Linked DNA regions of Drosophila melanogaster. Changing the gene in region 1 together with any one later gene gives a genetic interaction. Each region holds a gene or a part of one and is shown in the gene's direction. Other genes may lie near its edges.

What was found. Genes that interact genetically often act in the same process or in processes that back each other up.
Region 2: of Mps1 (region 1) and mad2, changing one suppresses a phenotype caused by changing the other (phenotypic suppression), as found in Drosophila melanogaster (one study listed by BioGRID).

Annotation. Positions count from the first base shown.
Region 1 is NT_033777.3:17,669,003-17,675,677, forward strand, and holds Mps1 (monopolar spindle 1), read left to right. Parts: upstream 1-2,268; 5' UTR 2,269-2,368; coding exon 2,369-2,565; intron 2,566-2,847; coding exon 2,848-3,855; intron 3,856-3,918; coding exon 3,919-4,474; intron 4,475-4,546; coding exon 4,547-4,804; 3' UTR 4,805-4,826; downstream 4,827-6,675. Other genes in the region: CG14322 (uncharacterized protein), read left to right, coding at 54-125; CG7523 (uncharacterized protein), read right to left, coding at 395-624, 1,064-1,340, 1,403-1,535, 1,653-1,795; alt (aluminum tubes), read right to left, coding at 5,887-6,009, 6,073-6,531, 6,640-6,675.
Region 2 is NT_037436.4:5,811,040-5,815,903, reverse strand, and holds mad2 (mad2), read left to right. Parts: upstream 1-2,810; 5' UTR 2,811-2,889; coding exon 2,890-2,962; intron 2,963-3,042; coding exon 3,043-3,189; intron 3,190-3,250; coding exon 3,251-3,654; 3' UTR 3,655-3,769; downstream 3,770-4,864. Other genes in the region: vn (vein), read left to right, coding at 1,038-1,089; kri (krishah), read right to left, coding at 3,829-3,839, 3,986-4,518, 4,584-4,825.

The DNA of each region.
Region 1 (6,675 bases):
ATTGTATAATATTTCCAAAGTCGGTATTCAAATGTTTTACTCCAATCTTATAGATCGTCACATCTTCGAAAGATAACTCGCTGGCGATTCTGGAGGTGCCCCCCGCATTGGTAAATGGCTATTAAGACGCGTATCATCATTGATATAAATCTGCTTTAATTTAATCATTTTTACACACAGACTTGTTTGCATAATACAATTTAATGGTCATAGTCCTTGATTGCGGATTTATAATTCGTTCTCTGTATTTACAATTGAATATTACATTTTTTGCATTTTTGCAATTGATCTACTTGAAGAATATTTCTTCGCCATGAACAAAGTATAAACGAATAAAAAGAGAACATCCAGTAAAATTATGATACGTAAAATTATATAGTTATTTGATTTGTCTTTAAGGAATTTGTGGTGCCCTCACTGGTCGCACGTTGGTCTGCATTTGATGCAGTTTCTGGTTGAGCTTGTGTGTATGGTCACGCAGATAGGCGATAAGGTCGGCCTGCTTCTCCAGAAGCTCTTCTGTGTCGCCTCCTGGTTGCATGAGGCCCAGGGAACCGCCGGCGCGGTCCGCACCACGCAAAACATCCGGAGCCAGCTTGGCGCTGTTGAACTTACGCACCTTGTCTGAAATGGGTAACGAATTTTTAGCCATGTCTATGACAACTTTTATACCTGAAATTACTTGGTTCTTAATCAAAAATCTTTCGCTTTGGAACCATAAGAAAGAACGAACTTAATTAGTGGCTGTACTGAATCACTTCAATTTTAAATACCTGGATTATTTAAGCGGCTCTGACTCATTTTTTGCGTATTACAATTGCTTGCAAGTCACTTAATCAGTTTAAAAAAAATACCTAGCCATCCCGACTACTATATTATGTCATTATATAAACTATTTGAATAAAATGTTGCCCATCGTCATTTCAATATATATACACACAGATATATTAAAAAAATGATGATAGCTCGATCTGTCATAAAATAAAATAAAAATAAAAGTCATACCATGACACTAAGTAGATTCCCTCACTATCGCTGACTAGATACTATGTTACTTCATTACCAATATATAAGCTGTGGGAAACGGCCAGCACCAGATTCTCGGCCACGGTGAAGGCGGTCACATAGCTGACCGGCGACAGCCACCCGGCGGCGCAATGTTCCCAAAAGTTCTCCGCATAGAAGTGGTGGATTAGGGCCTGGACAGCAAGCAGCATGGAGTTCCACAGGGATACCAGCTGAAGGGGAATCCCCTTCTGCATGTTAGTCTCGCGGTGAAAGTCGTGATAGCCCTGCATGCGTAGATTGTCGTGTTGCTTCTTTACGAAGTGATCGAAGAGCTGTAAAAACCGTTGACATTGAGGCAGGTCGGGATTGACAGACTGCTGATTGGTATATTTACATATGTGATGACCCAGAAGGTGGCCCGTAGGTAGAGCATTATAAAGTATGCATCGCAGCGCCGATCGGTTGGAAACGAGGCTGCAAGTACGATCCCCACAATGGAGATTGCAGTGGAGATAACCAGATGAAGGCTACGGGTGGACAGAGAATGGATTAAATTATGTGCATTATCGGTCGTTTGAAAGCTCCATGGATGATTCACTGCCGCCGGCTGAGGTCTCTCCCCCGTACACCGCATAAAATCTCACCTAAATGCGGGCACTGTATTTAGCTTGTAGCTTCCATTGTCGTTGGAGAAGAGGACGGGGTCCAGGAGCTGATCCGTGTCGTGGATGTGCGCTGGGGACACGCCCGGTTGGACAGCGGCGCCTCCAGTTGCTGGTTGCTCCATTTGCTCTGCTCTAGAATGCGTAGTTTTCGAACTATTGCTGCTTTGTTTATTTGTCGGCAGGAAAACAACACTTATTTTCCTTGGATGTGGCAGCACTGCCAAAATATTGCTTTTTTCAGGGTGGCAGCTCTGTGATGACCATGAAAAACAAGACAACCCTAAAATGTAAACAATAAACTTACTGTTAGAATTTGAATATCTAATTTATTTATTTAAGCCATTCTTACTTTTAAATCATTTTGATGTATTTTATACATCACTCTCCCTCACTCAAAGAGTGTGCTTTTATATTTGCTTGTTGTCAACACTAAATTATAATTTAGGTAGTTTTCAATATTTCTTAATTTAAAATATTAAACATTTATTTAAATCCTCATTTTCGTTTAATTATTTTAAAACTTAGCCTTCGGCTACTTAAGTTTTATTAACTATTAAAGGCTTCATTCAGCGCGCTTTGGATGTTTTAAATTTTGAACTTTGGTCACACTTGAATAAAAAATAAATTTAAACCCCGCATTTGATTTGCAATTGGATATTTAACTATTTGTCGGGCAGAATAAATCGGGTTGCAAGATGACCACGCCTGTGCCCCGCCGCACCAAGGACATGATGGCACTGGGACTGGACTCCGACTCCGAGGACGACTTTAACACGCCATACCGACCACGACAAGCGGCGGCGGGAGAACGAAAACAGCAGCCGGTGGCGTCTTTCCAAGTCCAAACGAGGGGCAAGGAGAACGAACCGCATCCCCTGCCCATAAATATGCTGTAAGAACTGGGACAGCAATGTCCAGTATCGCATGACATCTCCTGTTCTCCATACATAAGTCCTCCTGAGTCTGCAAGGATCTAATTTTCCATGAATTCTTTCAGGAATCCTAGATCTTTTCTTTCCAAATTGGTCTGTCCATCGAAACTAACCTGTATCTTCTAGGCTTAGTATATACCCTAAAAGTTAATCTATATTAACCCACAAGTCGAGGGATTTTTGTTACAAGATCACCTAGAAATGTTCATTACTTCTACATACAACGTTTTTATCGATTCTAGACCTCGCCGAGTGTCCGAGTTGACTATGATGGATTCGGACAGTGACGAGGAGGACATCAAGAGCAATCACAACCTTAACTGCGCCATCCTAAACGATTCCTTTGTGCTGAGCCCATCCCAAGAGTTAACAAACAGCAACAGCAACATAACCACTCGTAGAACACCAAGTGCCGCCCCCCTTAAGCAATCCGATTCGAATCTCTCGTTCCTGGGAAGATTCAACGACATGGGCATCAATTGCAGCAGTCAAGGATCCCCTGTTGCGAATTCGGAAAAACAGGTGGCCAAAAAGACAGCACCCACGCTTCAAGCTGCACCAAGTGCCACCGAAAGGCGCCCACTCCAAGAGACAGAGACGCCACTGCGTAATGAATTACCCTCCACCTCGAAGACGAAGCCGGATGCAGACTTCATTACCCCCCAAGTACGAACAATTGGTTCCACACTGGCGGGAAAAAGTCGGAGTGCGGTGTCCAATGACTTCCGTGCGCAGAAAGTGCTCTTCCAAACACCTATGACCGTGAGTCGTGCTGCTCCAGTGGCCTCCGATAGCATAAGCTTCTCCCTGTGCGACACCATCACAGAAAGCCCGGACATTCCGGAGCCTCCGAAAAAGGCAGAACCACCAAAGAGTCAGCATCCTTCCAAAAAGTCCCTAGATCATGTTTTCCGGGAGTCGGACAAGGATAACGTGCCAGACAAAGTGGATAATGTGGAACCAAAGGAGCTGGTATCGATTCCCGCAGTTGCTGTACCTCCAGAGCAGCCTTCCCACAAGACATCTAATATTTTAAAAATCAAGAATCATGAGTATACGATTGATAAGAAACTGGGCTGTGGCGGCTCCAGCTCTGTTTTTTTGGCACGCCGATCGGATTCCGGAAATGAGTTCGCCCTGAAGGTGGTGGATCTGCAGGCCGATCCACAAGTGGTGCAGGGATATCTAAACGAAACCAAACTTCTGGCAAAGCTACAAGGGAACGTTTGTGTTGTGGCACTTTACGATTAGTAAATATTTCTAAATACTGACTTCTTGTTAACGTCACTGTTTAAGTACTTTTTTTTCCTTAGTCAACTTGTGCGCGAGGAGTCCAAGCTGTACATGGTGATGGAGAAAGGTGACTGCGACTTGAACAAGATCCTGCAGAGCTACACCACCAACCTTCCTCTCTATAGCCTGATGAACATCCTGTACCAAATGCTGCAAGCGGTCAACTACATTCACCAACACGGTGTCATCCATTCGGATCTCAAGCCGGCAAATTTCCTGATGGTCAGCGGCAGACTGAAGTTGATCGATTTTGGCATAGCCAGCAATATCGCTGTGGACTCGACGAGCATCATCAAATTCTCGCAGGCGGGCACCTTTAACTACATTAGTCCGGAGGCGTTGACGGACACCTCCACGGGGAATAGCCCGATGCGCAGAGCCGATCAGCCGAAGATCAAGATCTCGACCAAATCGGACGTGTGGTCGCTGGGCTGCATCCTTTACCTGCTACTCTACCAAAAGACACCGTTCGGCCACATCCGAAACGTCTATGCCAAGATGAGTGCAATCACCACACCGGGCACCAGCATCGAGTATCCTGCCATTCCGCCCTACTATCCCATCATGCTGGTTCATGTGAGTGTTGCGCAATATGAGGCTTTTAGACTAACATAAGCTAACTAAAATTATAAATAAATTGAATCCAAGTTTACAACTGTCTCTGCTCTATTTGCAGATGGCCAAGAACTGCCTACAGTTGAATCCCAAAAAGCGGCCGTCGTGCACCGAACTACTACAGTACCCATTCCATATGATCATTCCGCTGCAGAACCTGCAGATACCCAGCAGAACCGCCAACAGCAATTAAGCACGAAAGCTCAGCTATTTATTAGTGAAATGTCAAAGGTCAAATGTCTTTCTCATATGTGTGTGTATATATTTAATTCTCATTTTATCGTAAATTAAACATCATAAATCCTTATAATGCTGTTATAGCTCGTTCTTTTGTTTGTTGTGGTTGCTGATGGGCTTGAATTTGTTGGTTTTCCTAATTTTTCAGTATGTCGCATGCAACAGGTTCCGACAATAGATTGCTAGTTAGCATTCGTGTTTAATTTGCGTTTACTTATAAGATAGGTTCTCATTCAGTTTTATATAAAAATAGTTGTTTTCTTGTTTATTTACGCTTAATTAAATGTTGCTGCTGCCATTTGCTCTTCCTGGGATTAAATACTTTGCGCTGCCTGGCGGCGGAAAATTAAAAGTTAACACAAAAACAGAAAACATGAATGGAAAACATACAAAATTCACAATGGCCCAAGTACAAGAGCATACGTACATTCATACTATTATTTTGTTTATTTTTTTGTGGATTTGCATTTTAAGTAGCTGGGTTTTAAATTCATTTGCTTAACATAAGATACATATACAATTGTTTAAAGCGCGTTTTTAAATGCAAGTGTAACACAAAAATAATAATCGCATGCAAAGTATGTGTTAAATAATAATTAGAAAGTAGCAGCAGCAATGGATTTTTCGCGGTTTTTCCGGGTTGGTTTGCTTTTTATTGGGAGGGCTTGGGTGGAAATTGCCTGTTTCTGTAATCAGAGTCGGACTTTTCCTTTGCTAGCATTTCTTCTCTTCTCGTTTAACATTGCACAAGTTTCGATTGTTATCATTATCTTGCTTTAGTTATGTGTATATAATTTCTTAAAGCGTTCCATAGTTCTTCATTCTCATAATTGTTGGTTCTCGCTACTATAAAATGTTAAATGTTGCTGTTGTGGGGCATGCTTTAGGTTTACTTTTTTCTCGCCTTTTTTTTTTGTTACATTAACTTTAAACTTAATAGATTGTTAGAGTTGTTTCTTTTTTACTGTTGCTGTTCTTTTGGAAGTTGGACAAACTCTGCGGTTGCTTGTCAGTTTATCGTCGTTGTTGGCCTCCTCTTCCCTTTCCGCATCTGTTTCGACATTAAATGTCCTGCAAAAAGACAAACGATATGTTTAGAAATCTAGTTATTATAGACCAGCAACACAATTCCTTACCTATTCTCCGTTTGAGGCATGCTGCTGCAGGGTTAGGATCAGCTGCTCCTTCTGCTCGACGATGCCACGCCAGTGCTCGTCCTGCTCACGAGCACGCTCTTCCAAGTCCATCAATGTGTTTGTCTGTTCGTAAGATTTTATTGTCATTGGATAGGTTATAAATTACTATAGGGCAAAAGTAATTACCGTCTTGGTGACCAGCTGGGTGAGCTTGTCGTTGCACTCCCGCAGCTGCAGGTTCTGTTTGTGCAGCTCCTGCTGCTCGGCGGCGGAGGAGGATTGGCTATTCGAACTACTATTATTGCTACTAATATTGTTGTGGGTGCTATTGTGGTTGCTACTGCTACTGTTGCTTGATTGTGTGGACTTATGACTACTGCTGCTCTGCTTCTCGGACTTCTCCGCGTCGAGCTTCTGCCGCAGCTTATCCTGTTGCTGCTTGACATGGGTGGCCAGGACCTGTTCCAGCCACTGGTCAAAGGATGCTTGCAGGGCATTTCCCGACTGCGCTTTCACAGCGTCGGGATAAAGGCGCTGGTAGAGATCCCGGATCCTCTGCTGCTCGCTCTTGGCTGAACTGGCACTACCCCCGCCATTGGCGGCCACTGCCTTCTGTTGCTGCAGCTGCAGCTCTTTGTGTTGTTGCTGCAAAGATTAATGCATACAATTAGTTTACAATGATTTAGACTCTACGAATTTTCAGATGGAATCATATAGGCAAGCAGAAGAAGCTGACAAAGATCATGCACTTACGCCTACGGACTGCGCTGAATTTGTTTTCGTCTTAGC
Region 2 (4,864 bases), on another chromosome or scaffold:
AGGAACTTAATTTAATTTCAATTCACTCATCACACGAACCACACCAACCAAAACCACAAGTAAATGTAAAACAAAAAAACAAAAAACAGCAAAACAAAACAAAATAATCAAGCAACTCGGACATACGGACGGACAAGCGGACGGACACCGGACAACAGGAAAATTTGACTAAAAAGGGACATTTCCCCCACAAAGTACTGAGAAACTTGTCGAATCCTTTGGCTCAGCCCACACTTACTCACCCACTCACACTCAATATGAATATCCAGATTTACGATAAAAATCAACAGAGGCTCTCTTAGTTAGATACACGAATATCAACACGCATAAACGCTGGCAAGTTAGTTACAAAAAAAAACAGCACTCACCCACAAAGGCATCGAACTGACTAAACATTTGAAACGGGAACTGAATTTTGTTTTGTTTTCAGTGTTATTATTTGTAGTTTGCAAATATTAAAAACAAACCACATTCGATAACCCATTAGAATTTATGATTTTCAATTAATTTAAGTTATTACTCGTTATTAGACATTAACACTTGGCTGTAGATTTTGACAAACCAAAAAAAAAATACACCGAAAAGAACCCAATTCAAATCAAATCAAACAAACCAACAATTTCATTCTGCTCCTCGTTTTCTTTTATTTGGTGATTGTTTTTTTTTTTTTTTGTATTTTTTCTTTTAACTAATCTCCTGCGTTTCCGATTTGGGTAACTCTGTTCACTATTACTTCCTTAGTTTGTGCTCGTTTCCTCCTTAAGTGTAAACTCCACGGCAAAGTGAAATCTTGAGCTCGAATGAACCCAAAATAAAAATATATACATACATATATCAAATCACTAATTTTCAAGTAGTTCTTGCTAAAGACCTTCTCTTCAATATCCTTCTGCATGGATTTTTTCATTTGAGAGCGCAATTTTATGCTTGTAGTTGCCCCTAATTGTGGAAATGGTGTTAGCCAGCTTTTAGTTAGCAGTAAATGAAGAACTGAAAGATTAATTTTTAATTTTATTTATAATTTAATCTCTTCACAGATATTTTGTTGCAATCTACGGCCAAATACATACCTTAAATAACGACTATTAATGCATAGAATTTTGTTTCATTATTTTTATGATTTTATAAACAAAACGAAAAACAAAAAAAAAATCGAACTCCCTGCACTCCAAAAACGTGGACAATTGTAATTTTTTACGTTTATTAAAAAATTAGAGAATTTGTTGCACCAGCTGACCATGCCCAAAAACCCATCACCGTTCTCAAAGTTTGCAACTACAAAGAATACATATCCGAAAACAGAAAACAGAAAACATTTCAAAATTCGTACAATTCCCCTCGCCTAGAGTTCCTTCTTCCCGAGCGAAAAGTTCCAGATCCAGACTGACTTTAGCTACGTTTGTTCTTGTGCACGGTGACAGAATATCTTAAATGTATAAATCGGATGTATGAAAGCTGAGCAGAATTTTAAATTATTTATTTTACGAAATATATCACATACATATAACATCTAAGATCGAAGTTTGCGGTTCAAAGTTCGAGAGCAAAGCATTACCGATTCGACCCTGACTTTGACATTGTTGCGCTTTTGTTGTTGTATCATAGACAATAATTTTAAAATGATAACAAAGGTTGACGTAGCCGAGAACTTTGTAATAAATCCTGTAAATAGCTCTCGTTTTAACTAACGATAAGTTTTGTGTACATTTCAACTAAGGTAATGCAAGCCCTTCTTTAACCGTAATTTATTGTATTTAATTACACCTAAATTAAACGTAATTATAGCTATAAGCTCACACACACACACACACACACACACGAACACCCCACACAGACACCATGGAGCTACTTAATTTCGAAATACTATTTTATTTGTCCTCGTTTTTTTTGGATTTGCGCAATTTCAACACCAAAATATGTAAAATGGCAAATTAGTTTTTATTTCTTCACAATGTGTATGTTGACATCAGTTTGTATGGCTAGGCGTAAAGCAAGAAAGTGCGTAGAGATTATTTTTAGTTATTTTAAGTGGCAAATTTTTTATATATTTAATTATTGAAAGATTTATACCAAAAATACCATGTAAAGTTTAATTTTAATTTAAAACAAAACATTAAACAAACAAAAACGAAAAAAAAACAACAAAAACAAACAAAACGATGCGTAAGAAAAAACTTAATTAAAAATTTGCAAATAATTCACATTTTACAAACATCGATTGCTTTTTGATTTGGTCTGATATTCTGTTCTTGTTCACTGTGGCTTCTTGTACTTCGTTTATGATTTGCTGCTCTGCTTTTGCTGATCTTTTCTGTCAAATCAGAGGGCAGAGTAATCAAGGCTCTGACGAACCGAGCTAGGTTTTGGATAGCATAGATTAACTGGGTCCTCTATTGTTCTGGCTATATCAAAGTCTTGTCTTATTTTAGTCTCTTGGCAGGAATACGATGAACCGGATGGAACCCATTAGGCCGAACCACGCGGAATTACTTTTGCGCTCAGAAATGGATCTCATGCTTAGATTTAGTTTACACAAGGATGGCCAATAAAATTCTGAATTTGTTGCAATCAATAATTGTGTTTTGATTTTATTGCGCAAATAAATTGATGAATTTAAATATGCCGCCCTTTGGGAATTGCTTGGCAGCACTGGTCGGAGTTAGCCATCCCTGGTTCCACCATCCCTGGTCGCATAGCCAATACACACACCAAATATAGAAATATACTGAATTTAGCGAGTACATTCACCGATATTTATCGATATATTGCAGACAAACGTATCGAATGTATATCGAGCTTCTGTCATCTCTGCTAGTCAACACCTTTCAAAAATAGCGGCAATTTAGCAAATTGTTAATTTCTCTCCCACTTAAATCGACTTAAATCAACATGTCAACTGCCCAGGCGACCAAAAACTGCATCACACTCAAGGGCTCCGCTCAGATTATTGTGGAATACCTGAGTGAGTAGCAAGCTACGTCACGAAAGCGTCTGTAAGTTCGCCTGCAATGGCGTCTCTGGTTCTTTTTTTTTCCTAAATAGAGTACGGCATCAATTCGATCCTCTTCCAACGCGGAATTTACCCAGCCGAAGACTTTAACAACACGCAGCAGTATGGGCTAACCATTCTAATGTCCAAGGATCCCAAGATCAAGACCTTTCTGCAGAACGTGCTCAGCCAAACTGAAGGTTAGTGGTCTTTTGGAAAAAATTCAAGTTTATGGTGACCATTATTTGTATTCACCTATAGAATGGCTCTCGAAGAACATGATCAACAAGATCTCGATGGTCATTACGAACGCCCACACCAAGGAGGTGCTCGAGTGCTGGGACTTTAATATGCAGGCCGAGTTGGGCGATGGCGATATCAGTGATCCCACCAAGGCAACAACCACCAAGGAGCTGAGTCGCATACAGAACGAGATTCGCGACGTTATGCGGCAGATCTCGGCCACCGTGAGCTATTTGCCACTGCTCGATTGCATCTGCACCTTCGACATAATGATTCACACGCTGCAGAACACCGAATTACCGGCCAAATGGGACGAAACGGGTGCCATTGTCATACAGAATCCGCAGGCCGTCCAGCTGCGCTCCTTTTCTACAGGACTGCACAAGGTGGACACCGTGGTCAACTACAAGATGAGCACTTAAAAGGCAGTACCGCCTCATCCTAATGTTTAAATATTTATTTCGTTTCTATATTTACAATAGTGCGTAACGAACGTAACGTATTTGAGAGTTGCATTAAAAGCCAGTTGTGAAAAGCTAACAGTTGCTAAGTAGTAGTTTGGTTGGCCGCAGGGGTCGTCTATTTGTCTGTGTGTCTCAAATGCAATCTGGAGGACGAAACAGAGTGAGAGAGGGTAGCATTTGTTAGTGGAGCGCAACGCAGGAAAGGGCGTTTGTCTGGGCGACAGCTACCTATCCTAAGCAGCGCTTAGTCGTCAAGTCTGCGAGATAGACCCAAGTATCTAGTCTGTACCGAAGTATTTCTGGCCAAAGTGATTAGGTGCCACGGGATGCAGCTCGGAGGTGAGGATCTTCAGCTTGGGGAAGGCATTCACTACGGTCCGAGCGGCAATGGGTGTGCAGAAGAGATTGGACAGGATGATGCAGCTCTCGGGTACGCCGTGTTCCCGCAGCACATTCACCGCCTGCAGCACAGTGTTGCCCGTGGACATGATGGGGTACATGAGTAGCACCTGCCTGCTGCCGATGTCATCGGGAAAGCGGGCATAAACCACGCGGGCCTCATGCGTATTGGCATCGGACTCGACCAGGATCTTTCCAATGCGAATGGAGCGACAGCAGTCACGCAGTCCCTGCTCCATGGCCTCTCCCGATCGGATGATGGACACGCCGCAGTTGCCGGAGCGATACTTCAGTCCCTCGTAAATCGCACCGGTGGGCGTCTCCACATCGCAATGGGTGTAGGGCAGTTGGTTGAGCGACTCCTCGATGACCAGCCGGATGAGACGGTCGGCATAGAACTTGAAGTCACTGCGCGTGGTGTTCCTGGGGGGTAGAATTTTGTTGTACTGCTACTACGCTGCTGACTCCTCCTCCCCAACGTCACCTACTTGTCGCGCAATATGGTCAGCAGTTCGGCCACCTGGGAATTGCACTCGAGTAGCTTCAGGTTGCTGCCGTACTCCGCCAGGATCTCCTCCGATGTGGCAGCTGGCACCGCGGCATGTGCATGCGTGGGAGTGTGCAGCTGTTGCTCCTGCTCCTGGGCTTCCTGCTGCGGCTGCTGGTGATCTGAGGAACTGCTGCCCTCCTCCGACTGGGAGCCGCTGCTGCTGGGCGAGCCGGTGCGCATGACTCGGCTATTTGGTTGCTATCACTGGCTACATAAAAT